Linked DNA regions of Rattus norvegicus. Each later gene encodes a partner of the first gene's protein in a complex. Links are inferred from orthologs where the notes say so. Each region holds a gene or a part of one and is shown in the gene's direction. Other genes may lie near its edges. The genes, in order: Crhr1, Ucn, Gnas and Crh.

Region 1 (7,580 bases):
ACATGGCTTGACCCAGCTGTATGTCTGCCCCTGTGGTTTGGGACTTCGCTCTTCAATTCCAGCCTTCGTGATTCACACTCTCAATGAAGAAGCCCCTCTACCAAGATCTTAGACACAGCAGAGACCTCCCCTCCCCAACCCCCAATCCCTGCTTGTCTCCCTCAAAACCCCTATGGGTGGAAGGAGAAGAGAATCCTAAAAGCCAGGCCGCTCCAGGTTCTGATAGCTGCACAGCTTGGCTCCACTGTGTGGCCTTTCCAACTAGAAAACAAGGCTGCGGGGACCAGCCTCAGGGACTTCACTGAGGACGATGGTGTGGGACCCAGCACACAGTAGGTCCTCTCAAAACTATCCAGCTTCACTCTGACAAACAGAGGAGCCAGAGTAGAGGCTTGGGTAGAAGAGGCCAGCAAGCCCCCCGCCCCGCCACCTCCTCCTAGACCCAAAGAGAAAGCCGGGGCCATAGCAGCATCAGCTCCACAGATGCTGTTATTACCCAGGGGCTTCTCAGCATGGATTTTAATTTTAATAAAGGGAAACCCTGTGTTCATTCCAGACAGGCTTTGCGTTGTGCATGTCTGTCTGGAGCCTCTGGTAGGATCCTGGCATCTGCTGCAGGCCCTTAGAGACCCTCAGTATTTGCAGGTCAGAATGGACCCCCCCCCCCGCACGCCATTATGGGGTCCCAGGGCTCCAGCAGCATGAGCTGCTAATCTGATGTCCTACTTTCTTCTGGCCAGGGAAGGGTGAATGGGAGTTTGCACTGGGAATCTGCTATTCACTGAGCGCTGGGTCCTGGCTGGTCCCCTAAGGACTAAGGACCCGTAGGTAGCATCAATACCTTGCCAAGCTTCACCTGTAGGTAAGAGATGCTTCAAGCTGATCTTAGGAATCTTGAGCAAGTCAGCATACCCCTCTGGGTTTCCTTTTCTGCAAAGGAAGTTACAAGTGCTTTTCCCAGCTTTTCCCTCAGGGCCGCTTTGAAGCTTGAAGACGAGGAAAAAAACTCTTAGTGTGAAGGCTTTCGCACTTGTGCCAGTAGCTCCTGTCACGTATTCATAATTGAATAATTAAGAAAGTTAAGGGCTGGGGAGATGGCTCAGTGGGTAAATGCGCTCGCTACCACGTGTGACCTGGTGGAAGGAGAGACCTGGCTTGTGCAAGTTGTCCCTAACCTCCACGCACACGCTGTGACACACATGACTATACTCAAGCTATACAAGTACACACATTGAATAAACAAATGGAATTTAGATTTTTTTTAATTAGGAATGACTGAAGATGTAGTTCACAGTAAGCAGAGCACTTGCCCGGCCTGCTCAAGACCCCAAGCTCAATTCAGCAAGAGGGGAGTTAGCATAAGGGGGAGAGGCATGGGTGGAAGGAAGAACTGGAGAGACACCGTTCTCTTGGGGCAGCCCCTGGGCCTGGAATGAGGGAAAGCCTTTGAGGATAAGGAATTGGTGCTTTCTTCTTTCGGGGTATGTGTGTGGTACATGCAAGTGTTCATATATGCGTGAGGAGAACACACATCCATGTATGCCTGTGGAGCTCAGAGGTGGAGGTAGGGTGTTTTCTTTACTGGTTTTCCACCTCATTTGTTGAGACTGGGATCTCTTCACTAAGCCTGAAGCTGTCAGTGTCGCGGGGCTGGCAGACCAATGATCCAGGGACCCACCTGTCTCTGGTCCTCCGTGTTGAAGTTACAAGTCTCCATAACCACACCCAGCTTTCATGAGGGTGTCAGGGATCCAAGTCCCAGTCCTCATTGAGCCAGATTCGGGTGTGACCAGGAAGATGGGAACTCAGTTTAGAAGCGAATAAGAAATAAAATTCTGGAGGGCTGGGGTCTCTGCACCCACCCGAGCCTGTGCAGCCAGGACAGAGCGAGACATGGGCATGTGTGGGCACTGAGTGTTTGTGTAAGTGTGCACAGTGTTAATGTGACACAGAGCGTCGTGTGACCTAGATACAGCCTCAGTTCCTATCTGTCTGCAACACGTGACAGACCAGATTCAGAGACTGGCCCAAGTGGATGGTGTTACTCCAAGGTGGCACGTGAGTGGCTCACAGGGTCACTCTGGGGCGGGGCAAACCCTATTACTGTTGCCCACTCTTCCCCAGCACCCCTCCCTGGTACTGTTCAGTACAATGGGTACAGAGGTGCGGCTGTGCAGGACGCTCACCTCTGCCCTCTCTCCTCCCTCAGAAGAAGAGCAAAGTACACTACCATGTTGCAGTCATCATCAACTACCTGGGTCACTGCATCTCCCTGGTAGCCCTCCTGGTGGCCTTTGTCCTCTTCTTGCGGCTCAGGTGAGAAGGCATGGGCACTGCCACCCGCCACCCCCTGGGACCTTGAGCGTACTGCGGGGCAGTGGGTAAGACCCAGGCCTAGCAGTGGGGTGGGGGCACTGACAAAGGGTCACCTATCTCTCATTTGGATAGAAGAGTATCACCTACGTGAAGCTCGGGTCTCTTAGGACCTCTGCAGAGTCATGCCTGTCCTTTCTCCCAGCAGCTGCTGAGGGAAGTAGGGTAGGGAGAAACGAGCCCAGGCTCACCTGCTGTTAGCAATGCCTAAAGCTGGTCTGTATCCATCTTGGGAGACCCCTGGAGGTGAGGGCTTTATCGAGTGGCATCCCTCTCACAAGTTCAAGTGAGCTGTGGCCAGAGTGACAGGAAAAAGTGTCTAGTGGGTAGCACCAGAAGCTGAAAGTCGAGACGGATTTTGCTGTTGGAGGCTTCTCCTGTTTGTAAGCACTCTGCTTTTCAATCCTGGGGTGTGAGGAATGAGAGGGGATCCTGACCACACCAAGCTTTTCCAGGAGCAGATGTCTTGGCCGCCCAAGATAGGAAGGGACCAGTGCAGTTCAGGCCAGCCCGTCAGTCCCACTCACGCCAAGCTTCAGTCTCTCCGTTGTTGTGTCTGGGCTGGAGAGATGCTCACACTTGCCCTCATCCTCTCTCTCCTCCTGTTGCTATGGCCACCTGCCCTCTCCTGCTGCCCCAGGAGCATCCGGTGCCTGAGAAACATCATCCACTGGAACCTCATCTCGGCTTTCATCCTACGCAACGCCACGTGGTTTGTGGTCCAGCTCACCGTGAGCCCCGAGGTGCACCAGAGCAATGTGGTACGTCTCAGCTAGAGAAGCAGAAAAGGCAAAGTCTAGGTCAGAGGGCGACCCTGTAGAAGGGCCAGGCCCGGGTACCCACAGAACAAGAATAGGACCCCAAGGAGCCTGAGGGTTGGACACTGGGGTCTCTGGACACCCCCAAGCTCATTGTCATCTCTGGTTGGGGCAGGCCTGGTGTAGGTTGGTGACAGCCGCCTACAATTACTTCCATGTAACCAACTTCTTCTGGATGTTCGGTGAGGGCTGCTACCTGCACACAGCCATTGTGCTCACGTACTCCACCGACCGTCTGCGCAAGTGGATGTTCGTCTGCATTGGCTGGGGTGAGCTGGGCCAGCCCCGCCCCTGCCTCTCCTCACTGAGGATATGGGCCAGCTGGGTCAGGAGGGTGGGATGCGAACTCTTCTTAGGGGTGAGAGTAGGGGGATTGCCAGGAAGCGTCAGAACTCAACTCCCACGAATCCCTGCTCTACTGTGGGTCCCTGGCTGACCTGGGGTCCTCCAATGACATCTGCTTTCTCCCTCAGGTGTACCTTTCCCCATCATTGTGGCTTGGGCCATTGGGAAGCTGCACTACGACAATGAAAAGTAAGCTACTTTGTGAGGTCAGAGCCTAGCTCTATAGTACACTCCCTAGGGGACTTGGGCCATTGTCTCTCCTGTAAAGACAGTGGCTTCTGCGTCCACAAAGGCAGAGCAGAGCACTGGCCTCAATTCTAGGATCTTTTCCAGTGCTCTGCTGAGAAGGTGGAGCTAGACAGCCAGGGTCCCAGCCTGTTACCTGTCTGGAGTTTTAAGGAGAGCAATACCAAAAGCCACACAGCCCAGGTGCTGGATTGTGCCATCACTGAGTGGCTATGTGTGACCTTGGAGCTCATTGTCATGGCAGGCCTCAGTTTCCTCATCCATGAAATGGGCATCTTCATTTTATTTATCACCTCTAGGCTGTAGTGGGGATGAAGGGCATCAATGCATACTAAGCACATAGACTAGTTAGTACCTGCCAGCCAGTAGGTGCTACATACATTTTTATTAACATCAAGGTGTGTTTCGTAGTAAGATTCTATTGGTTAAAAAAAAAAAACAAAACTAGTCCAGGTAGTTTTAAAGACTCTTCCAGCTGGATCTGAATCAGCCTTGCACATGGGGGACTTCCCAGCCGTCCCTCACAAGGATCTTAGGGGAAGATCTAGAAAGTTCTATACCTCAGGGCTCCATGCTATTGGACTGTCATGGCCTGGGTAGCAAGGTGGTTACAGTGTAAAGCGAAGATTTAGAACTTCACAGAAAGACCGAGAAGGTGGGAGGGGCCGGGCAAGACAGTCTGGGTTACACATAAGCATCCCCAGCTCCCAGCTGGCTGACTGGAGGGTTCACATTGACAGACTCTCCCCTCCCCTCACTGGGCTGCACGAGAAGCCTGGGAAAATATCATCCACATTTGTGAAGGTTGTTCTTTCTACCTCAGGCTGGGTTTTTTATGCAGCAGCAGGGTAGGCGGCAGACTACAGGGAGCCAGTTCACTGCCGTGGGTGCGCAGTATCCTGGGGGCGGGGGGTGGTATCCTCTTGGGAATTCCTGGATGGGGGAAGCCTGTGCTTTGAAGCATATGAAAAATTGAGTACAAGAGACGGGGCAGAAAGAACAGGAGGGAGAGATGGGAGAAGAAAAGAGATGGGCAGAGAAGGAAAACCCAGAAACGAGCCTGCTCCCACCCTGGAGCGGGAAGGACGCTATAAGGTTAGGCGTGAGCAGCCCTGTAGCCCCCTCTGGTGGATAAATGCAGACAGTGAAGCAGAAGGAGCGGGGAAGATGAACTGAGAGGCTCCGGGTCCCAGTCTGGAGTCCGTAAACAGTGGTGTGTAACCTGAATGGTGTTTAAAAATCAAAAACAAACAAACAAGAAAACCTTGACATTTCAGTCAGGAGGTCACATATGCTAACTTCCCATTGTGGCTTACAGCATCCATTGCAAGTCCTTATACCCATCCATAGGAACGTGGGACTTCTGATGTACCCAGTCCCAACCTACTCCTGAGGCTAGCTCAGGGGGATTGTAAGGCAGGCCTACATCTTGCAATGAGTGTTAGCTGTGAAACCTTCTCTGCATGGGCTGCGCTCCAACGGAGTCCCGAAGAAGCTGCGGTTGGTATCCACTTGTATGACAGGGCAGTGAGCGTGTCTAACCACAACTACTGCCAGAGTGCCTCTGTGGACACTGGAGAACACAGAGCTGTGTCGGGCTTCAGGCTGTTTCTGGATGCTGTTTGGAGAATTTTTTCCCTGGGATACACAAAGAAGCAGCTACCCCTTCGTTAGAGGGACTCAACCACAAACTCAGGTGCAGTTCACCAAAGTCCAGCTGAGGGAGCCAATGAATGACTGTGAATGCTTACAGGGCCAAGATAGGGAATTATTTACAGGGATATAAGAGACCTTAAAGTAACTGCACTGCTAGAAAGTCTCCCCACAGTATGGATAAAGGCTTCCCTATTATATGAATGGCGTCAACCTCGATATAGTTAACCTCCAGTTAACCCTACAAACCCAAGCACCTCCTAAGACCATGGGAGCGTGTGCAGTGGGCCCCTAGAGGTGTAAACAGACATGGCTGGAATCTCAGGATTCCAATAGACCCTCCCACCTTTCTATTGGAGAAATGTCAAGATCAGTCCCATCTTGTGGGGTCCTTACAAGCAGCCACAACTGCACAGCTGGGGATGGTAGCCTTTTTTCTCATGGGCCCTCCCTCCACAGAGCTCGCTCCAGCTTCAAAACCTACAGCAGAGGGTACCACCCACTTTGCAGTCAGGATCACGGAGGCACTGAAGGAGAACCAGTTGGCTTGGCTTTCTTGGAAGTTGGGGTGCCCTTTCCTGACCACTGGCAATGATCCTGCCCTATGTTCAAGCACTATACCACTGAAAGGACTCTGTTGACCCCTCCCTTCCCTTTCTCCCTTGGCCCTCTAGGTGCTGGTTTGGCAAACGTCCTGGGGTATACACTGACTACATCTACCAGGGCCCCATGATCCTGGTCCTGCTGGTAAGAGCTTTGGGAGGTGACAGGAGACAGGCCACTGTGGGGAGGGACAATCTGTCTACCATGGACAGAAGGGGCCACCTAGGTGGGCCCAGAGAAGGCACCTAGGCCAGGAGTTTGTAGGTCTTAATAAGAGGAGAGAGGGAGGAGAGAGAAGGGGAGAGAGCGCGTTCGAATGAGTGTGTGCAGCAGGAATACCAAGAGCAGAGCTGAGGGAGCTGAGGGCTGGTCCTATCCACCCCACCCACCTCCATTTCCTGCATATGTCCCTGCTCCCATCCCTGCTCCCCATCCCCACCTCTGCAACCCATCCCCACTCCTGCAACCCACCCCCACCCCTGTTACCCACCCCACCCCTGTTCCCCATCCCCACTCCTGATACCCATCCCCACCCCTGATACCCATCCCCACCTCTGATACCCACCCCCACCTCTGCTCCCCATCCCCACCCCTGATACCCATCCCCACCCCTGATACCCATCCCCACCTCTGATACCCACCCCCACCCCTGCTCCCCATCCCCACCCCTGCTCCCCATCCCCACTCCTGATACCACCCCACCCCTGATACCCATCCCCACCCCTGATACCCATCCCCACCCCTGATACCCATCCCCACCCCTGCTCCCAATCCCCACCCCTGCTCCCCATCCCCACTCCTGATACCCATCCCCACCTCTGATACCCATCCCCACCCCTGCTCCCCATCCCCACCCCTGCAACCCATCCCCACCCCTGATACCCATCCTCACCTCTGATACCCACCCCCACCCCTGATACCCATCCCCACCCCTGATACCCACCCCACCCCTGATACTCATCCCCACCCCTGCTCCCCATCCCCATTCCTGATACCACCCCACCCCTGATACCCATCCCCACCCCTGCTCCCCATCCCCACCCCTGATACCCGCCCCACCCCTGCTCCCCATCCCCATCCCTGATACCCATCCCCACCCCTGATACTCATCCCCACTCCTGATACCCACCCCCACCCCTGATACCCATCCCCACTCCTGATACCCACCCCCACCCCTGATACCCACCCCACCCCTGTTCCCCATCCCCACCTCTGATACCCATCCCCACCCCTGCTCCCCATCCCCACCCCTGATACCCACCCCCACCCCTGATACCCATCCCCACCTCTGATACCCATCCCCACCCCTGCTCCCCATCCCCACCCCTGCAACCCATCCCCACCCCTGATACCCATCCTCACCTCTGATACCCACCCCCACCCCTGATACCCATCCCCACCCCTGATACCCACCCCACCCCTGATACTCATCCCCACCCCTGCTCCCCATCCCCATTCCTGATACCACCCCACCCCTGATACCCATCCCCACCCCTGCTCCCCATCCCCACCCCTGATACCCGCCCCACCCCTGCTCCCCAT
Region 2 (6,809 bases), on another chromosome or scaffold:
TAAGCGCTCTACCACTGAGCTAAATCCCCAGCCCCAATTGTTTTTTTTAAGATTTAAATTTTTCTGGGCGGCCTATGCCTTAAGTCCCAGCACTCAGAAGTAAAGATAGTTGAATCTCTATGCGTTTGAGGCTAGCCTGATCTACAGAGCAAGTTTCCAGGCTAGCCAAGGCTATAGAGCGAGACCTTGTCTCAAATCAAACAAATTTTTGTGTTTTTTTTTAATGTGTGTGGCTCTCTGCATGTGCAAGTAGGGGCACAGACACCAAAAGATGACATGGGATTCCCTAGAACTGCAGTTACAGAGCATTGTGATCTGCCACACAGGGGTGTTGGGAACCAGGCTTGGATCTTCTGAAAAGACCAGGTGTGAGGGTGCCCACTTTTTCTTTTTTGGTTCTTTTTTCACCGAACCCGGGGCCTTGCGCTTCCTAGGCAAGCGCTCTACCACTGAGCTAAATCCCCAGCCCCGAGGGTGCCCACTTTTTACCATAACATCAGAGAGTCAAAGGTGGGAGGATCGGGAGTTCAAGTGTTCAAGACTGTCTTTGGTGACATAGTGACCACAAGAGGTCTCTCTCTTTATGTATTATCTATGTATGTATGTATGTATGTATGTATATGAATTTTATATATACACATATAAATGAGGATATATATATATATATATGTGTGTATATATATATATATATATATATATATATATGGATGACGGAGGCAAGGCATTATTTTTAGAATTGAAATCTTGGCTGATAGAAGGTATACAGATATATTTGGAAAGGTCTAGATAGACGAGTCATTTGTTGACTGAGCTGCCGGTGGACCAGTGATATGACTCAGTGGCTAAGAGCCCTTGCTGCCAGACCTGATGCCCCGAGTCCATTCCTTGGAACCCACATGGAGGAAGGAGAGAACCAGCTCCCTAGAGCCGTCCCCTGACTTACATGTAACACGTGCACACAGAGACAAGTTAATAAGTAAAGGGAGTGAGCTGTGGAGGTTATTTAAGCTCTGAGGCCTTCGCCTGACAGGAACTCGGAGATAGAGCAGAGCTGGACTGGTTGTCTTCTGGTCTGAACCTACAGTCCCTACAGCGGCTCAGAGGAAGGCAGCCCAAACCTGGGACTTCCCAAGACCTTCCCATTGCTCTCCTAGCCTGCCCCTTCTCTTCTTCACAGTGGCATTCCTGTCCCTTAGGTTGGCTGTTGTCCAGTGCGTTGCTGTTGTCTGGAACTCCTACCTGTCCTGGAAGGCACATCAGCTCTAAGCCTGCCCTGTTCCGTGGTTCGCACCTTGCACTGCTGCTCCGTGGCCCTCTAATGCTTGGACAGCTTCTTCCAACTGAGCACAACAGGACTGGAGAGGTGGCTCAGCCGTTAGAGCATGGACTGACTGCTCTATAGGAGACCTAAGTTTGGTTCCAAACACCCACATCGGGTAGCTCACACCTCCGTGTCTCAAGCTCCAGGAGATCTGATGTCCTCTTCTGGCCTCTGAAGCACCTGCACTCACATGTACATATCAACACATAGACACATTCGTAATTAAGCACACAATGAAATCTTTTTTTTTTTTGGGTTCTTTTTTTCGGAGCTGGGGACCGAACCCAGGGCCTTGCGCTTCCTAGGTAAGCGCTCTACCACTGAGCTAAATCCCCAGCCCCTGAAATCTTTACAAGGAGGGAGTGTGTCCGTGATTCGAGGTTGCTGATCAGAGTAGGGCGACCACTCTAAAAACGTAACTGCTTTTGAAATCACTAAGACCTTTATAGTATTGCTGTCACTCTGGCACTTAACTGATGGGGACACACTAGAAGAATTGTGTCCTGAGCTAGAGAAATGGCTCAGAGGTTAAGAGCACTGACTGTTCTTCCAGAGGTCCTGAGTTCAATTCCCAGCAGCCACACAGTGTTTCACAACCATCTGTAATGGGATCCAATGACCTCTTCTGGTGTGTCTGAAGACAGCGACTATTCATATACATAAATAAATCTTTTTAAAAAAAGAATTGTGTCCTTTAGCAATTTTGTCACTGTGTACACATAGTAGTATATACTTAAACAGATGGTAACAGTTGCTTACATGGCTTCTCAGTCAGCCTGACATGCTGTACGGTTTTACAGGGGGCTTTTTTTCATATGTAGAACATTTTAAAATAATAAATATAGCAAATTCATGAATCAGTAACTATTGTTTATCACTAAGGTATATGTACCATACATAGTTGTACAAGCTATACGTTCATATTACTGCCAGTGTGTTTCCACCAGCATCATCAAAGACACGTGAAAAAATTCACCAGACTAAGACATAACTAATGCTGCTGTGTGGGCGGGATATTTCAGCTCCGCTGTGATTATATGAAGCCAAAACTGCGTGTGCTGCCATCACTGACTAAAGGGTCATTATGCAACGTGACCGTAGTATATTCCGCACAGATACTTGTAGAGTAATATGACCTTGCCACCCTTACACCTATGTCCCAATAGCTAGCACACGTCCCCACCCTCTATAGATACAACTTTCTGTCCAGTGTTGAGGCTTGAACCCAGCCTTGGGCATACTAGTCAAGTGCTCTAACACTGAGCAACGTCCCTAGACTAGAAAATGTTTCGTGGGGTTGGGGAGTTAGCTCAGTGGTAGAGCGCTTACCTAGCAAGCGCAAGGCCCTGGGTTCGGTCCCCAGCTCTGAAAAAAAAGAAAAGAAAAGAAAAAAAAAGAAGAAAAGAAAATGTTTCGTAATGTTTCTAGGTCCTAGTGCCCTTCCAGACCCCCCTCTGGGACTTTATAGACACACAGAAATAGATACATTATTATCTGGAATCTGCAGTGGCTGACATGTCTGTAACTAAAGTGGAGGCTTTTCATTTACAGACACCAATGATTTTGGAAGTGAGAGACCTGACCACACCTCGAGTTGATGTGAGAGCAGGAACTTGCTCACTTCCTAACTAGTGATTTCTTGTGTGTGTGTGGGGGGGGGGTGTTCAAAACTGGGTTTCTTTGTGTAATCTTGACTGTCTTGGAATTAGCTCGGGTCGGTAGACCAGTTTGGCCACAAACTCACAGTTCTGCCTGCCTCTGTCTCCCCGGTGCTGGGATTAAAGGAGTGCACCAGTACCCCCACCCCTAGTTCCTCACCTAGTAATCCTAACTAGAAGATAAAGGTATGAAGTACTATTTCTGTGGGTCCTAGGAAGTTTACTTTGGCAAACTCAGGAGGTGCGTTAAGTTCTGAAAGCCGAACGCCCTTTTATGCCATTCTGACACCTGTAGATTTTAGTTTCTACTGCTGTACCACAATGGTCAGTAGAATGGGAGGGACCTATTAGGGTGGGAGGGGCTTTGGGTGGGACTGTGTTGTCTGAGCCCCTTCCAGCACAGCATTCCTGATCTCAATCTGGGGACCCAGTAGCCGACCTAGGGAACTGTGTCTTGGCAGCCCAGGGTTCTCCCCAGAACTTCTGCCCAGATTCTTAGCCGTGAAGAAATTCAGAACCACGGACAGCTCCACAATCCTACCAATCCGTACTTGAGCAGAGAAACCAACCCCTGACTATCCTATTGTGGAGAGGCTGGTGGTGGGAAGGACTCTGTCTGCATCCGGAAAGATCTATCTTTAAGGCTCCGTCAGCCTCTCCCTCTACAGCCAGGGTGCTTCCAAAGATAGCTCCAGGGACACAAAGTCAGGATACGTGCCCCTCTGGGGGCTCGAAGCTACTGGACTCGAAGCTGCCAGTGTCACTGTTTCTACAATCAGTTCAGTTCTTCGCTGACGTCAGTCGGAGCTGTCCCGGTGCTATATAAGGCTGGCGGCGGTCCCGGGACCGACCCCGTGCTCCCCAAGGCGTCTTCAACCCGTCCCCGGGGACAGAGACTGGAGCTCCATCTTGCACTGGATAGACACTCCGATAACCTGTGAGTGGCTTGGAGCAAACGATCCAGACTCCCTTACCGCCAGGACTCTGCACTAAGCCCACCCACTTTGACCTGCCCGGAGGGAAAGGAGGGAGGGGTGGAACTGGAGTGGCACAGCGCCTTGGGCTGGTGGGCAGGTTGTGGACACCAGGCAACAGCTGGAGGGTCCTAGCGGGGACATTGGGCGTGTGCGCGAAGGGGCTCGTGTCACCTGTGACTGCTCCAAGTGCATCTCACCCTATGCTGCCCCTGTGTGTCCAGGGCAGGCGGCACCATGAGGCAGAGGGGACGCGCTACGCTCCTGGTAGCGTTGCTGCTTCTGGTTCAGCTGCGCCCGGAGAGCAGCCAGTGGAGCCCAGCGGCTGCGGCGGCGAATGTGGTCCAGGATCCGAATCTGCGATGGAACCCCGGAGTGCGGAATCAGGGCGGAGGTGTCCGCGCACTCCTCTTGCTGTTAGCGGAGCGCTTCCCGCGCCGCGCGGGATCTGAGCCTGCAGGCGAGCGGCAACGACGAGACGACCCGCCGTTGTCCATCGACCTCACCTTCCACCTGCTGCGGACCCTGCTAGAGCTAGCTCGGACACAGAGCCAGCGCGAGCGCGCAGAGCAGAACCGCATCATATTCGATTCGGTGGGCAAGTGATCGGCCCCGTATGGGGTCCAGAAAGCCTTGACCCTTTCCCCCACCTACCCCGGGGCTGGAGCGCGCACAACCGGAGCTGGCTCAGTCCCGCGTTGCAGCGCCGCCCAGAGTTACCCTGAACACTCTGACTGGATATTTTTTAATAAAACTGCCCAAGAGCTTAGCCTCTATCTTCTGTTACAGGGGTGAGGGGGCACCGGCAACCACAGTAGGGTAAGAACTTTTGGGAGAGTGGGGCTCTCCAGGCCGGTAGGAGAGACAAGCATGCGTAGTGGGATGGGAGAGGCAGCCTATCAGTAAAGTTCCTATGGCCCTTCCCCCAACCCGCCAAATCCCGGAACTCGGTGGTCTGAGACCCCAACCCAGACACCTTTCAGGGTCTCCGGCTCAGGAGGCCACCTCTGATGTAAAGGAGGTGCCACTTCGGACTATTTCACCTCCACCCCTTCAGATGGTCTGGGGTTGAGAAAGGGCAGAGTAATGGCGAGGTTGCTTCTATAGTTGAGCCTAGGAGTGGGCAGTGAAAGGAGCTGAGGACGTGGGACGTGGGACACATGAGTTCTTTATTGAGAACCATCCCTGGGGGTGGAGGCCGAGATGGGTAGCGCGATGGTCTCTGCGCAGATCCTCAGCATCCCTTGGCTCCCGGGCGTGCGCTCTGGATCAGAGTCGGATCAGTGCAAACCTGAACCGGGGGAGGGGGGAATGCTCGGTGGGTGGATGCTCCAAACGAACAAGGCCCTCCCGACAGCCAACGCTCCCAGGCAGCGGGATTTCCACTACTCCGGACCCTACAGGCTCCCCAAAGCCGTGGGAAAAGGAGTGCTTTTCAGAGCGCTAGGGGGTGCGCTTTGAGGTTCCTGTACAGTGGCATGTCCTGGTATCGCCGGGAAGACAGTCACCCAAGGGGCCACGAGCTTGCTAACTACTCTTCACCCCTAAACCTTCGTCCAACTCTCACCTTCTGGCCCGTCCAGCCGCTCCTCCTCCAGCCCTGTGTTGCCCTCTTCCCCGTCCAAAGTCACCTCGTCATCCTCTTCATCCCCAGAGGCGCCTAGGTGGAAGGGCAGGCCTGGTGATGTGGAGCCCCTGCTCTCCTGGCCATAGCGCCCACCTCATACCCCTTCAGCACGTCTAAACAGTCCCTCCCTCGGCTCCCTCACCCGGCTGGAAGTCGATGGTCCGCAACATTTCCGCCACGTGCTCCACGATCACAGAGAATTGCTCCATGCTCTCATAGCCTGGCTCCGGCCGTCCAGCCAGCTCCACCTTCGACATTGCCCCGACCCTATGATGGCCACAAGGGCTCAGCAGGGGGACTCCTCCTCTCCCTCAAGCCCCTCCCAGGTCAGAAGGAAAGAATCCGCAGGGTCCCTTCCTTTCCCACCGAGCAGTCCACTCACTTGTTGATCAGCTCCTTGGCCTGCTGCAGGGGAGAAAAAGAGGACGAAGGTGAGGACTGGGCCAGCCCTGGCAAAGCCCTATTTCCGACTCTCACGAATTCTTGCGGGGTAGGAGGGGATTTATATCCCGATTCATTAAGAAGGAGAGAGAGAGAGAGAGAGAGAGAGAGAGAGAGAGAGAGAGAGAGAGAGAGAGAGAGAGAGAGAAGCGCGACTCGGAAAAGTGACTTTTCCCAGGTGGTGGAAATTCTGGAGGGAAGACTTGACCCCCCCGCTCCCCAAACCCTGAGTCCCGACACCCTGAAGGCCCTCCGCCCTCCCTCTCCGCCCACCTGGAGGTAGAGAGCCATCTGCGGCTCCTCCATGGACTGGATGGCGGACTCCACCAGCTTAGAGGAGGCCTCCAAGTGGTCTCCGTACTGGCGGATGAGGCTACGCACGCGCTGCAGCTTCTCCTCTTGCACCCGAGCCAGCGCTTGAAGCAACTCGCCCTTGCGCTCCTCCAAAACCGCGCACAGGGTCTCGAACTTCTGGTTTAACAGTTGTTTCTGTCTGCGGCTGTTGTCCTGAAAGACCACAGCAAATCTGAATGAAGAAGGTCTCTCCTGAGCACCCCCAGAGCTGCGAGAGCAGGGCATTTTAGTCCTCTCCCCACTTAAGAAAGCCAAGAAGGAAGGCGATCTGGCTAGGGTCACACCTTGAGTTAGGGACACAGAACCCAGCTCAGATGTTTTCAGTTAACAGGGATGACAAAGGTGTCAAAGAATTTCAAGGCTGCTTCACTGGGAGCCAAGTACCACGCGGCTGGCTTTGGCTTTGTCTTGAACGAATTTTCACTTCCTTGTTA
Region 3 (8,243 bases), on another chromosome or scaffold:
TAATATCCTGCCTCGCATAGGACAGTCACCATAGCAAAACATCACCTGACCCCAGTCCCCAGTGTGGGGCTACGCAGCCATGATGCACACACAAGGGCTGCTCCCATTTCTGGCTCTGGAGCCTGCTCTGCTCTCTCCAGCTCTTCTCCCCTTGACTACATCTCCTTCCACTGGAGAAATTTTATCTGACTCACACATTTCAAACCTTAGTAAAGCTGATGGACAATTTGAATTTTTACTTTCTACCCTTCTCCTAAACTCCAGACCTTTCCTTGCCAGAGACTGGTTGTAAAAGATCTCCCTCAACCCGCCCACCTTCCTTTCAAATCTGCCATGTCTGAAATCAAAGAAAGACTCTACCTCTGCGCCAGCCCCTCCCTGACTCTCCTCTGTAATTCCCAGTGTCTACAACCCAGGTGGAAGGTAGTCTTTGACTTCTCCGCCCTTTACAACGTTTCCACGGAGCTTCCAGGAAGCCCGTGGAACACTTAAGTCTCCTTTTTCCATTGTGTCTGGGTCTCTGCTCTAAGGGCTTCCGCTGCTGAACCTCCTTTGTGCACAGCCTTCTTTTGTTCCCTTTATCAGAATCACCCTCCATGTTGGTTTTCCCCTTTCTAAAACTTGATTCACATCTTCATCTGCCAAGAGGGTGAGAAAAAACACACCTTCCACCGTCTACTCCATTTCCTCCTCTTCACTTCCTGCCAAAAGAACCCGGATGCTGCATGGACGCCTCAGAAAGCACAACCATTTTTCTCCCTTCTTCCCTACTGCTTCTACTGGAGCAAAGGTGTCCGATCGTTTATGCAAGCAGGCCCCACACTTCCTTACATTGGACTCTTTGTTCCAGATAGGTGAAGGTGTGCCCGCTCTGCCCCGCCCCTTCTAGTCAGTCAAGACATCTTGCTATGGAAACCCATTCGAGGCGCCATTTTCTCCACCTGGTCTTTGCAACCTCCTATTGGAGGTCTTCTCTTTCCATTTTCATGCTGTTCTGTTCTTTCACAAGGAGACTGGCATGCTCTGGATGTTTCTCCCTGTCAGAGAAGCATGATATAAGGAATAACGTGGAACAAAGGATCCTTACAGATCATGACAATGTCTGAACAAAGAGAACCTGAACCCATATTTTTGATGAATGGTGCTTTGGGGATGGGTGTGAGAGGCCTGGAAAGCCCACGAGATCCGCGTGGCGGTCTCCTAGGGTCTCCAACCTCAGCGTCTACTGACCTTTCACCTTGTGCAGGGTTCAGCATCCCTGGGAAATGAACTCTGTCCATCTTGTACTGCTCGTCTGCATCGGAGCAGTATGCTCTCTCTCTCCATAGGCCTGGCTCACCACCTCCAGCCCCTGGAAAAGCCTCTCTTCGCGGTGCCTCGGCGATAGCCCTCTCTGTGAAGTGGGTTAGCCTACCGCCATTATGAGCCCAAGAGATGGTCCATGGGTGTCCCTGACCTTCCCACCTTGCCTTGGCAAGTTAGGGGATCAAAAAGCTTGATCCCCCAAGGAACTTACGGCGACCGTGGCCTTCTAGGCCTGACCGCCATACGCCCGCCCGCCAACTGCTTCCAACCAACCCAGCAAGCACAACCTCTTTGGGCGTTCCAACGCGGCGCCCCCTTTTGGACCTCCCACCCATATCCGGTTTCCGGTCTGAAGCCCCCTGCTCATTCGCCAGGAATCCTTGATTGGCGTGACCCCAGCCCAATAGCTGACCTGTCGCTGGGGTCGGAGGGGAGTGGGTTAGTGGTTGAGACCCAGTTGGCCCATTCCGTGTGTGTTCAAACCGTTTCGCCATTTTGAGTGGGGGTAGTTGGCCAAACTTTGGACCAAAGTTCAAAGTGTCCGGCATGCAGTGTGTTGAGCCGTAGAGCTGAGGTGACACGCCTTCGGGAGATCGCAGGCATTCTCTAAGGCTTCACATTGTCTGCTTTCCTGTACTCAGGGTGACCACGTGGACGCTGTTGGCAAGGGGCTGTAGTGTGCTGAGCCTGCAGTGGGAAGAGGGACATGTTAGACTTCTGAGAATTAAATCATGCCGCGGCACACCCGCATGTGTCTTTCAATATAGCCATCTGCCTGGTGCATAATTGCCGCAGCCCGCCTCATGTACCACTCCATACTCTTTCCTCAGGGTCCTGCAGGTCAGACCTGCCTACTGCCTAGCTGTACTGCAACAAAAGACAATGCCTCTCGCCATCGCCATTACCTACTGGCAAAATGACGGCGGTGTGCGCGTGCCGCGTTTGTATGCTCTGAGAGCGGCACAACAAAAGACCAAAACCCGAAAGGCAAACAAACAAAAAAACCCTCACCCCTGTCCTGAGTTCCTCTGCAGATCCCAGACCTAAAAGCATTTTGTGATTATTCGCTGAGCCCACCGGGCAACGGGACTATTTATCTCCTGCAGCTCTGAGCCCACCGCGGCACCACAAGGGGCGCGCAGCCGCGGGCTTTGTGGCCGCGCTTAATATCGTTTGGGTGGGCTGTTGCAGTTCAAAGTACAGCAAATGCTTTATGGTGCTCACAACAGAGAAGGGGATGGAAGGGGTCTGGAGAAGGGCTATCTATATAGAGGAACCGGACACGGAATCGGCAGCTGGCACTGGTGGCTGGAAGACGGGAGTCCCTGCAGCCGTTGCCACCACAGCACGGTTGGTTGGTGGGTTAAGGGCATAATCGGGTTTTCTAGTCTTTAAGACCACCCTAAATGGGCCATCAACCACACCCCAAATCTCCTTTGGCCCTTACCCAGAACACAGAAGTGCGAGCCCTGAGCTAGGGGGTCTTTCGGTAAGCCCCGGGTCCCCTCCCCTGTCTGCACGAACGCGGCAACCATGAGTACCGCCTAAGGGGGCTTTGCTTGATTTTCCGCAGTGCACTACCGAGACCTTTATTCATACTGCGTCACCACCCACATAAACAGAGCGAGCCCTGACTGCGTCACATTAGGCCACTCTAGGTGTAATGGGGATGGGGGACATTGACAGTATTTGCCGAGCCATCCCCGACAAACAGCAAACGTAAACATCAAAAAGAGAAAAAAAAACTACCCGGAGCATTTAAATAACAAATTGCGTGTTTACATTCCGCACTTCCTCACCCCCCCTCCCCTTCCGGTGGGCTCACGACCACCTGTCGCATTTTATAGTGCTTGCCTCTACCCCCTTTCCTTGTATCCTAAAGCCTCCTTTTCCTGGCTTGGAGATGAATATGGATAATTGGCCTGAGTGTAGGGTCTTTAGATAAAAGATTCGCCGCATACTAGGGTAATCTGGGGTGATAAAGCCCTCCTGCAGTCCCTCCTCCCGTCCAGAAGAATCAGATGGGGAGGGAGGCTTTCAGCTCCTGTACTCTAACAGGCCAATGCCCACGTCTTGCGTCACGTGTCCCAGCAACGCAAGAGAGCTCGCGCTCTCTCTGGCTAGAGAAAAAGCGAGGAAGAGAGACTCGGAATCAGTCCGGGAGAGAAGAGGACGGAGCTGAACGTCCCTACGAGGCCTCCGCTCATCCGCCCCCTTACCCAAAGTCGGGAGCAGCTGGCACCCGGAGCCAGCTCCCAGAGCCGGCTCAGCACTGAGACCGGCGTCCTCTGGCGGCAGAGAAAGAGTTCTACTTACGATTTTCGAGACGAATCGGCACGCTCTTGGATGCCAAGAAGGCGGAGCTAAAGTAGACCAAAGTAAGAAGAGAGCACAAAAAAGTTCCTAAAGTTGCTGGCCGACCACAGCCCGAAGGGGTAAAGGTAACTTGGAAGGTGCCAGACCTCGCCAGCAAGAGATGACTCGCTTCAGCCATGGCCATGGGTTCTAGTCCCGGATCACCGATCCTTACGAAGGTTGGAAACTGAGGCTGGAGAACTTTCCAGCCAAAACTTGAATTTTTTTAAAAAATATATTTTTTTTCACCCTAGTTTGGCTGGGTGCTCCGTCTTACGGGGCCCCAAATTTATTTTGAAAGCCGCCACCGTGTTATGGGCATGCTCAACTGCCTCCACGGCAATAATATGTCAGGACAACACGATATCCCCCCTGAAGTCGGGGACCAGCCCGAGCAAGAACCTTTGGAAGCCCAAGGGGCCGCTGCCCCCGGTGCTGGGGTTGGCCCAGCCGAAGAAATGGAGACCGAACCGTCTAACAATGAGCCCATCCCCGACGAGACTGACAGTGAGGTCTGTGGACCCCCTGAAGACTCCAAATCTGACATCCAGAGCCCCAGTCAGGCCTTCGAGGAAGTCCAAGTGGGCGGAGACTACAGCCCACCTCCAGAGGAAGCCATGCCATTCGAGATCCAACAGCCCAGCCTGGGAGATTTCTGGCCCACCCTGGAGCAGCCTGGACCATCTGGGACCCCATCAGGCATCAAAGCCTTCAACCCAGCGATTTTGGAGCCCGGGACCCCCACTGGTGCACACCCAGGCCTGGGAGCCTATAGCCCCCCACCAGAAGAAGCTATGCCATTTGAGTTCAATGAGCCTGCCCAGGAAGACCGTTGCCAGCCTCCCTTGCAAGTCCCAGACCTTGCGCCAGGGGGTCCGGAAGCATGGGTCTCCAGAGCTCTTCCCGCGGAGCCCGGGAACCTCGGATTTGAAAACACTGGCTTCCGAGAAGACTACAGCCCTCCACCTGAAGAATCTGTGCCATTTCAGCTCGATGGAGAAGAATTCGGGGGCGATAGCCCACCCCCAGGACTCCCGCGAGTCACGCCACAAATCGGCATTGGCGGCGAGTTCCCGACAGTCGCGGTCCCGAGTACGCTCTGCCTCGCTCCCGCCGCGAACGCGCCTCCCCTCTGGGTCCAGGGCGCCATTGGCAGACCATTCCGCGAGGCTGTCAGATCTCCTAACTTCGCATACGACATTTCCCCAATGGAGATCACCAGACCCCTGCTTGAGATTGGCAGAGCCTCCACTGGGGTCGACGACGACACCGCTGTCAATATGGACAGCCCCCCAATCGCAAGTGATGGCCCGCCCATCGAAGTCTCGGGAGCCCCAGTTAAGAGCGAGCACGCAAAGAGACCCCCACTTGAGCGACAAGCAGCCGAGACAGGAAACAGCCCTATCAGCAGCACCACTGCAGAGGAGGCAAAAGTCCCCTCCCTCGAGCGAGGAGAAGGATCCCCCACCCAACCTGAAACAGTGCATATCAAGCCAGCTCCTGTTGCGGAGTCCGGAACGGACTCTTCCAAAGCCGATCCGGACTCAGCTACACACGCAGTTCTTCAGATCGGTCCTGAGGAAGTCGGAGGAGTCCCAACCATGCCCACCGATCTTCCGCCTGCTTCTGAAGATGCGGGCCCAGATGTCCGGGCAGAACCAGACGGAGGGACAGCCCCAGCCACCCCTGCCGAGTCCGAAGACAACAGAGAACCAGCCGCCGCCGCCGCCGCCGAGCCAGCCGCCGAGCCAGCCGCTGAGCCAGCCGCCGAGCCAGCCGCCGAGCCAGCCGCCGAGCCAGCTGCCGAGGCAGTCCCTGACACCGAAGCCGAGTCTGCCTCCGGGGCAGTCCCCGACACCCAAGAGGAGCCCGCAGCCGCGGCAGCCTCTGCCACGCCGGCGGAGCCTGCCGCCCGGGCAGCCCCCGTCACCCCTACGGAGCCCGCTACCCGGGCTGTCCCTTCTGCCAGAGCCCATCCAGCCGCCGGGGCTGTCCCTGGAGCCTCAGCGATGTCAGCCGCTGCTAGGGCAGCCGCCGCTAGAGCAGCCTATGCAGGTCCTCTGGTCTGGGGAGCCAGGTCACTCTCGGCTACTCCAGCCGCTCGGGCATCCCTCCCTGCCCGCGCAGCAGCTGCCGCCCGAGCAGCCTCTGCTGCCCGCGCAGTCGCTGCCGGCCGGTCAGCCTCTGCCGCCCCAAGCAGGGCCCATCTTAGACCCCCCAGCCCGGAGATCCAGGTTGCTGACCCGCCTACTCCGCGGCCTGCTCCGCGGCCGAGTGCCTGGCCTGACAAATACGAACGTGGCCGAAGCTGCTGCAGGTATGAGGCTGCGTCCGGCATCTGCGAGATCGAGTCCTCCAGCGATGAGTCGGAAGAAGGGGCCACTGGCTGCTTCCAGTGGCTTCTGCGGCGAAACCGCCGCCCTGGCCAGCCCCGGAGCCACACAGTCGGGAGCAACCCGGTCCGCAACTTCTTCGCCCGAGCCTTCGGAAGCTGCTTCGGTCTATCTGAGTGTACCCGATCACGATCCCTCAGCCCCGGGAAGGCCAAGGATCCTATGGAAGAGAGGCGCAAACAGATGCGCAAAGAAGCCATGGAGATGCGAGAGCAGAAGCGCGCAGATAAGAAACGCAGCAAGCTCATCGACAAGCAACTGGAGGAGGAGAAGATGGACTACATGTGTACACACCGCCTGCTGCTTCTAGGTAATGCCGCAGCTTCTGCCCCTGGGCAGTAGGGCCACCCCGGGCACCCGGGGAGGGGGTGGTAGGGCCTTCCGGTGGGGCTTGGGCCTTGCCCGTGGGAGGAGGGGTCTGGATACCCTGTTAGAAGTTCCAGGGAGGGACCCCAACTCTGCCCTGGGGTGGGAAAGGGGCCTTTTGGAGTGTTCGGGTGGCCGAACTGTATGCCCTCCAGGGAGAAAAGTGGTGCCGAGCGACACTGAGGGTCGTTACCGGCCGGAGGCCAGCGCCAGCGCCAGCGATCCTAGGCTGGACAGGCGGGGGCGTGAGGTGAGCCCAGAACTGCTGGGGTGGGCCCTTCGGGGCTCCCCCGGCTCGATTGTTCGTGACCGCGGTGGGCTAGGGCCATCGGGGTGCGCGCCCCCGCCTCGCCTAGCACGGCTGCTTCGACTCAGACAGCTTGTTGTTGGTGTGTGTTGGTGTCCATTTTCTGTGTTCGCCTGTGCATGACATGCTCAGTGTGTCCCAGTTCCCACCCCAGACACTTTCAATGTACCCGCCGATTTTATATTTGTACTCTGAAATAGGTTGCCTTGTGATTTGCGCCATGGCGCGACCAAAACTTTCCGTGTTGGTACACTCTGTAATAACCTGTGTGCAGACTCTCTGCAGCGAGCAGAGGGAAAACGCGCAGGCAACGGTGGCGTGGCATCCTGGGTAATCTGCTGGGCCGATGGCTGGGGGGAGTGGGGCCCGCCGCCGCGGGCCTCCATGACCTTTTTCCCCGGTATGTCTCTCTTTTTCCCTTTGCGTTAAGCATTTCCTCAGTTCTCAATACATACGTCAAACCCTCCCGCCTTAATGGTTGAAAAAAACAGACACTTAGGTATCTGGGGCTTTGGGGTTGTTCAAAACATGTGTATTTTGTATTCTGTGCACACGCACACACATACTGGGTCCACCTGTGGGGGGTGGGGAATAGAGCAGGAGAAAAGGGGGGGAGCATGCTTTAGCCCCGTTGGCAAAGCCACATTCAAAACACACAGGGGTGGGCGTGGCTGGGCTTAAATAAACACACATATATATTACATATAATATATACATATAAAAAAACAATTTTCTTCTTAGTGAAGAGCCCGAGGTAAGGCAATCACTTATATTTTTAAAATTTGTGGCAGGAGGGACCTAGTTTAAGAGGGTTGGAAGTTGTATATTGGGAGGTACAATGTTGCCTTTGTATTTTAATTGCAATTAAAATAAACAAAATAAATAATCAGAGTGCATACTGAGCGTGTGGACAATGCCTGGGAAGCTCGTAATCTCACTTGTGAAGTCTGTATATGTTTGCTTGTGAATCTTTTTTTCAAGCAGCTATAGCTTGGACTAAAGGTAAGATCTTCTATAAGTCAGTTTGTGATGAAAAAAATAAAGATTTTTAGGATGAAGATTAAAGAAATGTTATGCCAGCCAGATAGGTGCCTTTTGAGGCCCTCATCTTCCACCGCCCTCTGTACGACCCCCTCCCCAGCTCTCCATGTTCCTCCCTTCACAGACACCCCTCCCCTCATCCTGCAGCCAGAGCCCCTCCCACATCAGACTTCTCATCTCCAACCTGAGGCATTCATTCTTCTCGCCAGATTAATCAGAACAGCAATTAACAATGGTCTCTATCTGTGGCTTAAATAAAATCTTCATGAGTGGCTCTCCACAATTAATTTATTTTATTCTTTAAAACCTGTCAAGGGATCTCAGGATCACAGTGTCTAAGGCTGTATGCTCCATTTGTCTGTGCAACATTTGGTAATCTGTGACGATGTTTATTAAAGACCTTGGCATGGCTGTGCTGCTGCGATGTCCCCTCCCACAAATCATGATTTTAGATGGAATGGTCACTTTATTTATGC
Region 4 (7,572 bases), on another chromosome or scaffold:
GATATCGTCACAAATGCTTGGGGACAGGTAACAAAATGGTAAACGTGATTAGCTTTGACATTCAAAATTTTGAAGAATTTTGTATAGTGTTTTGCCATTGCTATTTGGCTGAGTCTTACTATGTATGCCAGGCTTCCAGTTTCCAATCCTGCTGTCCACTGAAGGTGCTGGGATTAGAGGTGTATGGCACCACACCTGGCTTACATTCTTTACTCTGTGTTTCAGAGTCTTCCATGCTCTTTATAAAAAGGATGTATGGCTGTGACACCAGAAGAAACTGTTAAAAATGACAATACTGTTCCCATGGAAGCAGTAAGGTATTTATGTTTTTGAAATCCTTTCTCTTTCATTTTATGAAGATGGCTATCAAATCTATCTAAAGTTCAGTGACCACAATAATTAAGCAACGTGAATGTGAGGAAAGATGACAGACTGATTGCAACAACTTTTTTAGTTAGCAAACTTGAAGAGTGTATTTGCTTGCCTGGATTTTGCCAATAGAAGTATATAAAAGTGCAGAAGAAGCCGGCGCTAAGGAGCTACCTGCTTTCTGTCTGTCTGTCTGTCTGTCTGTCTGTCTGTCTGTCTCTCTCTCTCTCTCTCTCTCTCTCTCTCTCTCTCTCTGTGTGTGTATGTGTGTGTGTGTGTGTACCTGTGTGCATGTGTACCTGTCTGCCTGTGTACATGTGTGCATGTGTACCTGTGTGCATGTGTGCCTGTGTGTGTCTGTGGAACTACAGCTTGAACACAAGGCAAGTGTTCTGCACTTAGTCCCATACACAACTCTATTGTTTTTCTTTTATTTAATTAATTTGTACTCTATATTATTTAACTCACTCCTATGTTACATTGCTTTTGAAAAAGTATTTTGAACAGAAATTAATCACTATTTGGTGCCCATATTTCTTGGACATATTTCCAGGATCTAAAAGCATTTGTGCTGGTCCTTTTATGACTCCTTAAAATAAGTGAGGTGGTATATCTTGGTGTGAGATTTATAAGCCTAGATTTCTTAGTGTCTTGTATAGAACATTGTTACTTCTCCAATCACACATCTATATCATAATTTCAAGAATCCCTACTCTCTGTATTCTATAAAAAGGTAAAAAGTAATGCTTTTATTTTGTGTGATTTTTATTTGTGTATTTTTGCATTTTCATTTTTAGGTGCATCAGTGCACATCACATCATAATCACAAGATTCAGCTAACATGAAAATAGCAGCGTGCACACACTGACATTTAAAGGCAAGGGGCACTGCACAAAGACTTTCTGTATTCTCATGCCTTGGCAATAAACCGGAGAAAAGGCACATCAAGAACTGATGTGTATGCTGTGCCACCTAAATTCAACTCATCTAGGCTCATTCATGTACCTTTGCTGGGAAGGGAAGCACAAAGGATACTGCAGTGCTGTGTCAATAGTAAGGCTGGCAGTCAAAAGAACTGGGTTCTTGTTCTGACTTTATCACTAGCCAAGTAACTTCAGATTACCACCAGTTTTCATTTAAACCAAGTGACTATTTCTAAGACAAGTATTCTCTGATTTACTTCAGTAAATTATGATACTTCACAATTTATATTCCAGTGAAACCCCATGGCAACAGCAAGGGAGAGACAGTAAAAATGCATCCTCAGACGGCCCCATGGGAAGGGATTTTAAGGGTCAGGAGGTTAGCAAGGGACTCACACTTGCTACTTCTTCTCCCAAGGAACCTCCCTGACTTCTGGACTGCTCCCAGGCACTTCCCTTTCTTACTTCCTCTTCAGGACTCATTGGCTGCTTTCCCTCTCCAGACTGGCATTTAAGCTGAACTTTATGAATGGGCAGAGAAGGGGTTAGAATTAAAGTTAAAACAAAACAGAAACCAACCAACAAAAAACCCAGGCACTGAGATGAATTTCAACTTCTAAAATGCCCACAGTAACAATAATGAAGGTTCTGGAGGCCTCCTTATCGATGCAAACCCCCTTTAATCAGTATTTATTAACAAATGACATTTTCCCAGTGGACAGGGAAAATGTTCTTGTCTTCTTGTCTATCAAAAATGCATCCCACAGTGCATTATTCATCTATGAGCTGACTTTTCTGCAAACTCCCAGTGTTTCCCCCCACTTTCCTTTTGTTTCTAGAAGAGTTGTCGATTAATACAGGTCCCAAACAGGGGTTGAAGTCTGCATTGCATTATCTGTTACTTTAGAGACAGAGAAAATGGCAGACATAACCAGAAACAGGGAACAGGAAAATTTGGATAAACAGTAGTGGTGGTTATGAGGCAACTGAAATGAATCACAGACACTAGAGTTTGTAACAGCATCTTGAATTGCAGGATTAAAGGTAACTGCTTCCCACTTAGACATAATATCCATTTAACTCAAAATTGAGAGTGGATTTGTAGACATGGCATTGTATTCTATAATAGTGTCAGAGAGCAATTACTAAAGACACTGTGGTACACATTTGAATTTGGAGAAAGGAACAGAACACATAATAAATAACTTGAGTGCCTTGCTATACATACTGTCATGATTTAATAGTATATGGAGGTAAAATGAAAGATTCTCATTTACAGGCTCAAGGACTGATTTTTTTCAGGTTATCAAGCAGCTTATGTTTGTTCAACACAAGAATTAGAACAATGCCTCCCTCCTTGGGTTTGCACTGTAGACTGGGAATAGACTTTTTAATGCACACAGCTCACCGTGGTCTTCTTAGGAGAGCAGAAAAGTCCTGATTAACTTTAGATTCTGAGAGGAGACCCATAGGAGACCCGAGATTCACTTGAACCTGAGGTTTTTGTTAAGAGTCTTTGTTTACAGCCTTCATTATTAGAATAGCTCTTTTCTCATGAAGAAAAACACGCAGCTGGTTTCAAAAACCTTATTGGTCTTGTCTTCAGATCCACAATTCTTTTATCTGCTCTTGGGAAGACTAAGGAGCTAAAAGCTAAGACTTGGTTGTCTCTGTCCCCTAGTTCTTCATTCTCCTCCAGGCAGAAAGATGGCAGGCCATAGTAAAGACATATTTCAGATACTAAGATCTTTCCTGAGAGTACAACATGACAGAAAAGTTAGGTGGGAGTGGTGAGACACCAGGAAATGTCCAAATCCACCCCCTTAATGGTGGCTACCTTCTTGGCAGCTCTGCACTCCCCACCTCTTTCTCTCTCCCACTCTGCCTCTTTTCTGGTCTGTATCTGGCCTATCATAGTAAGAGGTCAGTATGTTTTCCACACTTGGATAATCTCATTCAAGAATTTTTGTCAATGGACAAGTCATAAGAAGCCCTTCCATTTTAGGGCTCGTTGACGTCACCAAGGAGGCGATAAATATCTGTTGATATAATTGGATGTGAGATTCAGTGTTGAAATAGCAGAACCCTGTCCCTCGCTCCTTGGCAGGGCCCTATTATTTATGCAGGAGCAGAGGCAGCACGCAATCGAGCTGTCAAGAGAGCGTCAGCTTATTAGGCAAATGCTGCGTGCTTTCTGAAGAGGGTCGACGTTATAAAATCTCACTCCGGGCTCTGGTGTGGAGAAACTCAGAGCCCAAGTACGTTGAGAAACTGAAGAGAAAGGGGAAAGGCAAAGAAAAGGAGAAGAGAAAGGAGAAGAGGAAGAAAACCTGCAGGAGGCATCCTGAGAGAGGTACCTCGCAGAACAACAGTGCGGGCTCACCTGCCAAGGGAGGAGAAGGTAGGCAGCGCCTAGATGGGCGCCACCAACTTTGTGCTGCCTGAGCTGCTGTGGTGCGCCCCGGAGCCAGCTGCCCAAGTGCTGGAATGCCTGTGCCTATGCATGTATGTGTGTCGCTAACTGTGCCTTAAAATTCCGATGACAGCCGCGATGTGGCAAAAAGCTAAGTTAGACGGCGGCTGCGGCTGCTCATCTTTATGCACTCAATCCAATCTGCCACTCATTGCTCATAGTCTGTGTAAAGAATGGCTCCCTTATTGTGTCCCATACCCGCAAGCAAAGGGAGCAAGGGCAGGAATGGAGACAGAGAGGAGGAAATGATGTCCGAAAGGGGCGATTAGAGCGGGCGAATAGCTTAAACCTGTGGCACTTCTCCGGGCTCAAGAAAGTCAGTTTGGGGAAGACTTAGGAAGAGGAGTCAGGGGGTGTCCCTTTTAGGTCTCCAAGGAAGGGTCACCTGCAGGCTCGCACCATATGAGCTTTGCAGGTACATAGCTTCAGCACCGCGGACAGCGTCACAGAAGCCCAGAGCCTGTCTTGTCTGTGTCTGTCGGATAGGAAGTCCCGCTACACCTTCCAGCTGAGCTAAACTCTAACCAGTCTTACCTCTCTCCCCCACCTTCTCTTTCCTCCACCTTGTCTCTCCCTCTACCCCAACCTCGGCTGCAGAGAGCGCCCCTAACATGCGGCTGCGGCTGCTGGTGTCCGCGGGCATGCTGCTGGTGGCTCTGTCGCCCTGTCTGCCTTGCAGGGCCCTGCTGAGCAGGGGATCCGTCTCTGGAGCGCCGCGGGCCCCGCAGCCGTTGAATTTCTTGCAACCGGAGCAGCCCCAGCAACCTCAGCCGATTCTGATCCGCATGGGTGAAGAATACTTCCTCCGCCTGGGGAACCTCAACAGAAGTCCCGCTGCTCGGCTGTCCCCCAACTCCACGCCCCTCACCGCGGGTCGCGGCAGCCGCCCCTCGCACGACCAGGCTGCGGCTAACTTTTTCCGCGTGTTGCTGCAGCAGCTGCAGATGCCTCAGCGCCCGCTCGACAGCAGCACGGAGCTGGCGGAACGCGGCGCCGAGGATGCCCTCGGTGGCCACCAGGGGGCGCTGGAGAGGGAGAGGCGGTCCGAGGAGCCGCCCATCTCTCTGGATCTCACCTTCCACCTTCTGAGGGAAGTCTTGGAAATGGCCAGGGCAGAGCAGTTAGCTCAGCAAGCTCACAGCAACAGGAAACTGATGGAGATTATCGGGAAATGAAATGTTGCGCTTGGCCAAAACGATTCTGCATTTAGCACACAAGTAAAAATAAAAAATTTAAAACACAGTATTCTGTACCATACTGCAGCTCTGATATCATTTGTTTATTTTTATATAGCTTGAAGCATAGAAGATGTACAGGGAGAGAGCCTATATACCCCTTAATTAGCATGCACAAAGTGTGTTTCTTTGTAGTAACAAAACAGCGTTATTTGTATTGCCCACGCTTAGTTTCTATGTGCAAATAAGTGTCTTTATAGCGATATCTTAAAGAAAATGTGGATCCAAGGAGGAAACCTTTAAAAAAGCAGATGGAAGTCACCCAGTTGTTTTTATTTGGAGACACAGTGTAAGAGAATTCATTCTTGAGGGGTGGCTAGGACAAAATGTGTAAGCTCTTTGAATCAACTTTTTCTTGTAAATGTTTCAATAATAAAACATCTTTCTGATCCTTGGTCAATTTGGTTGTGTCAGAGAACGTTGACTATATTTTTAATAAAATCTGAAAGGTTGTTGTGGCTTTATTTTTCCTCTTCAGAAATGGACCCAGCACAAGAAAATAAAAACAATACAACAATCCCCTCCCCAAAAAACAAACCCTACATTTTATTTTCTCCTAAAAATATGAACGTTGTCACATAGCTTACACTAGCCCTGCAATTTGTCCTGGGCTTTCCTCTGTATCTCAGATTTCCCTTCTGAGATTGAATTAAATAATTTTAGAGGTTCCTCCCACCCTTAAAACTTGATAATTTTACAACTAGAAGATCAGTCACAGTGGAAATAGCTTGCAAGCCTAATTAGTTGAGGACCAGGAAGTGTGGGCATCCTGGCAAATGGGTGGACGTCAGAGGACAACTGATGGATGTCAGAGGACTCCTACCATGTGAGTCCTAAGAATTGAACTTGGTTCTTCAGGTCCAAAGGCAAGTGGTTGTACCCACTGTACTATCTCACCAGCCTTAGTTAGGAGAAACTTAATAATGCAAACATTTCAAATAAATAAACATATTTGTGGTAAAAGGGCACTTGGGAAATTTTTTCTTAAAAAAGAATAATAGCTCCACAAATACCTTTCATATTTCTCTCTATCCCAGTCCTAATAACTGCAACTTGTAGGACTGTTATTTGCTTCTAAAATTAAACAGCGTATCTAATTAGTCGGACAATATATTTGCTTTAGTAGTTTGGTTACAGCTATAAAATTTTTAGTTCCATAATTAATACTTTAAAATTAATTTGTATGTATGAAGATGGCACTTCTCTTGAGGCCCTTGAAATGTGCTTGATTAATGGCTTAATAATAAAACATGAATCACTGAATAAATTGCTAGGAGACTAAAGTTCTTAAAAACATTTATTTAGGAGTTCATTTAAAGTAACGTTACACGTATGTGATGAAAGCATGGAGAGAGAGAAGGGAGAGAGGGGAGAGAGAGGAGAGGGAGAGGGAGAGAGAAAGCGCACAGGGGGAGACTGTGTGTATATTTAAATACATGCAGTTGTTCCACAGTTTGCTGAATTGCTGCTATGGCAGACACATAAGAAAGTAGACAGTTCCTCCCAGAAAGTCTTCAATTAAAGTGGCTGTTACATGGATATAAGATTATGAGATATGTAAATAGTATTAGAAAAATGTCTAAAGAATTGCCCTAGACCTTTGGCCTTCTGGACTATGGAAGTGTGGCCACATGTAAAGAAAACTTCTGGCTGTACATCCTGTGACATCTGTAGGGAAGAGGAACCTCTATAGCATTCTACATAGCTTTGGTCAGTGACCAATCTCCATATTTTGATAAATGGGTCAGTTCTGAACTGACACTGAATGTCACCTACCACCTGCAATGCTAAGGAGAAAAGCAAAAGGCACGAGTGTCCGAAAATAACAAGAAGCCCAGAGAGAGGAGAGTGTTCTGCCAGTTTGTAACCGCTCGCCACTCACAGCTGATGTGTACACGCACCACACCTACACACCCTTCAGAATGTTTCTCACCCAATAAAAGCATAAGATCAAGTTTCTTCATCAGAGTATTTTCTGTAATTTTTGTTCTGAGCATAATCATTTTCTCAACAAGTTAGATAAGTCATCTGGAATTAAAGGGTGTTGTTCTTGTTTTGTTTTGGTTTTAGAAATCCTGTCCAGAGGTCCCCTTCGTATGCATCACGGTGAATTTCCACCAGGTTTCCCTATGTGCTTCTCAGCCAGGCAGACAGGGGGCAGCAAGGAGAATAAATATCATTCATTTAGGGAATTCAACCAGGAGAAGGAGAAGACGTGGCGAGCTGGCTCAGAATCAGCCCCACCCCCACTCCCCAAGGCTGCAGCCTGTCCCTGGGGAGAAGAGGCCTCAAATCCAATCTGCAAAAGAAGAAAATGTGGATGAGAGGAAGGAGAGAGTAGACCTTTGGAGAATTGGTCCAGTCACTGTTCTACTGAGGAGAGAGGTTGATAATCATAATTACAGGAAGCATAATTATTATTAGGGACAGAAAGCAAGCTCAGGTCATCTTAGTTATGGTCAAGAGCCATTAAAGTGAGTCACACTCATGATTCAAAAGAAAAAGCAATAGCACATGCCATGGAAGGGAGCTCTAGTGGGGAGGGGCCAGGTTTCCCTGCTTCATTTTCCCA

What was found.
Region 2: the proteins of Crhr1 (region 1) and Ucn are in contact, whole or in part, in a cryo-EM structure (PDB 6PB0), measured with the Homo sapiens proteins. The link is inferred for Rattus norvegicus from reciprocal best matches to the Homo sapiens genes CRHR1 and UCN. Residues at the interface, in NP_004373.2 of Homo sapiens: Leu106, Asn107, Glu109, Lys113, His117, Val120, Asn123, Trp169, Val172, Gln173, Ser177, Pro178, His181, Gln182, Thr192, Tyr195, Asn196, His199, Phe203, Phe260, Gly261, Lys262, Pro264, Tyr270, Tyr272, Gln273, Met276, Ile277, Tyr327, Phe330; in NP_003344.1 of Homo sapiens: Asn84, Pro85, Ser86, Leu87, Ser88, Ile89, Asp90, Leu91, Thr92, Phe93, His94, Leu95, Leu96, Arg97, Leu99, Leu100, Glu101, Leu102, Ala103, Arg104, Thr105, Gln106, Gln108, Arg109.
Region 3: the proteins of Crhr1 (region 1) and Gnas are in contact, whole or in part, in a cryo-EM structure (PDB 6P9X), measured with the Homo sapiens proteins. The link is inferred for Rattus norvegicus from reciprocal best matches to the Homo sapiens genes CRHR1 and GNAS. Residues at the interface, in NP_004373.2 of Homo sapiens: Arg151, His155, Tyr212, Leu213, Ala216, Ile217, Leu219, Thr220, Tyr221, Asp224, Arg227, Ile290, Ile293, Leu294, Lys297, Leu298, Ala300, Ser301, Lys311, Lys314, Ala315, Val318, Leu319, Leu322, Phe362, Tyr363, Asn367, Ser368, Glu369; in NP_000507.1 of Homo sapiens: Gln35, Arg38, Ala39, His41, Val217, Phe219, Phe376, Cys379, Arg380, Asp381, Ile383, Gln384, Arg385, His387, Leu388, Gln390, Tyr391, Glu392, Leu393, Leu394.
Region 4: the proteins of Crhr1 (region 1) and Crh are in contact, whole or in part, in a cryo-EM structure (PDB 6P9X), measured with the Homo sapiens proteins. The link is inferred for Rattus norvegicus from reciprocal best matches to the Homo sapiens genes CRHR1 and CRH. Residues at the interface, in NP_004373.2 of Homo sapiens: Lys113, Tyr116, His117, Ala119, Val120, Asn123, Trp169, Val172, Gln173, Met176, Ser177, Pro178, His181, Thr192, Tyr195, Asn196, His199, Phe203, Phe260, Gly261, Lys262, Tyr267, Tyr272, Gln273, Met276, Ile277, Leu280, Tyr327, Phe330, Phe331; in NP_000747.1 of Homo sapiens: Glu156, Pro157, Pro158, Ile159, Ser160, Leu161, Asp162, Leu163, Thr164, Phe165, His166, Leu167, Leu168, Arg169, Glu170, Leu172, Met174, Arg176.

Annotation. Positions count from the first base shown.
Region 1 is NC_086028.1:89,573,372-89,580,951, forward strand, and holds part of Crhr1 (corticotropin-releasing factor receptor 1), read left to right. Parts: intron 1-2,209; coding exon 2,210-2,316; exon of another isoform or gene 2,317-2,381; intron 2,382-3,013; coding exon 3,014-3,134; intron 3,135-3,306; coding exon 3,307-3,460; intron 3,461-3,664; coding exon 3,665-3,725; intron 3,726-6,109; coding exon 6,110-6,182; intron 6,183-7,580.
Region 2 is NC_086024.1:30,954,205-30,961,013, forward strand, and holds Ucn (urocortin precursor), read left to right. Parts: upstream 1-3,881; 5' UTR 3,882-3,916; intron 3,917-4,177; 5' UTR 4,178-4,190; coding exon 4,191-4,559; 3' UTR 4,560-4,712; downstream 4,713-6,809. Other genes in the region: protein Mpv17, read left to right, coding at 1,197-1,266; Trim54 (tripartite motif-containing protein 54), read right to left, coding at 5,234-5,244, 5,521-5,613, 5,723-5,847, 5,963-5,985, 6,295-6,528. UniProt on the Homo sapiens protein: Acts in vitro to stimulate the secretion of adrenocorticotropic hormone (ACTH). Binds with high affinity to CRF receptor types 1, 2-alpha, and 2-beta. Plays a role in the establishment of normal hearing thresholds.
Region 3 is NC_086021.1:183,499,272-183,507,514, forward strand, and holds the start of Gnas (GNAS), read left to right. Parts: upstream 1-3,971; 5' UTR 3,972-3,974; coding exon 3,975-6,363; intron 6,364-6,574; coding exon of another isoform or gene 6,575-6,849; exon of another isoform or gene 6,850-7,622; intron 7,623-8,243. UniProt on the Homo sapiens protein: Guanine nucleotide-binding proteins (G proteins) function as transducers in numerous signaling pathways controlled by G protein-coupled receptors (GPCRs).
Region 4 is NC_086020.1:104,057,010-104,064,581, reverse strand, and holds Crh (corticoliberin precursor), read left to right. Parts: upstream 1-3,533; 5' UTR 3,534-3,693; intron 3,694-4,362; 5' UTR 4,363-4,376; coding exon 4,377-4,940; 3' UTR 4,941-5,398; downstream 5,399-7,572. Other genes in the region: Trim55 (tripartite motif-containing protein 55), read right to left, coding at 7,177-7,299. UniProt on the Homo sapiens protein: Hormone regulating the release of corticotropin from pituitary gland. Induces NLRP6 in intestinal epithelial cells, hence may influence gut microbiota profile.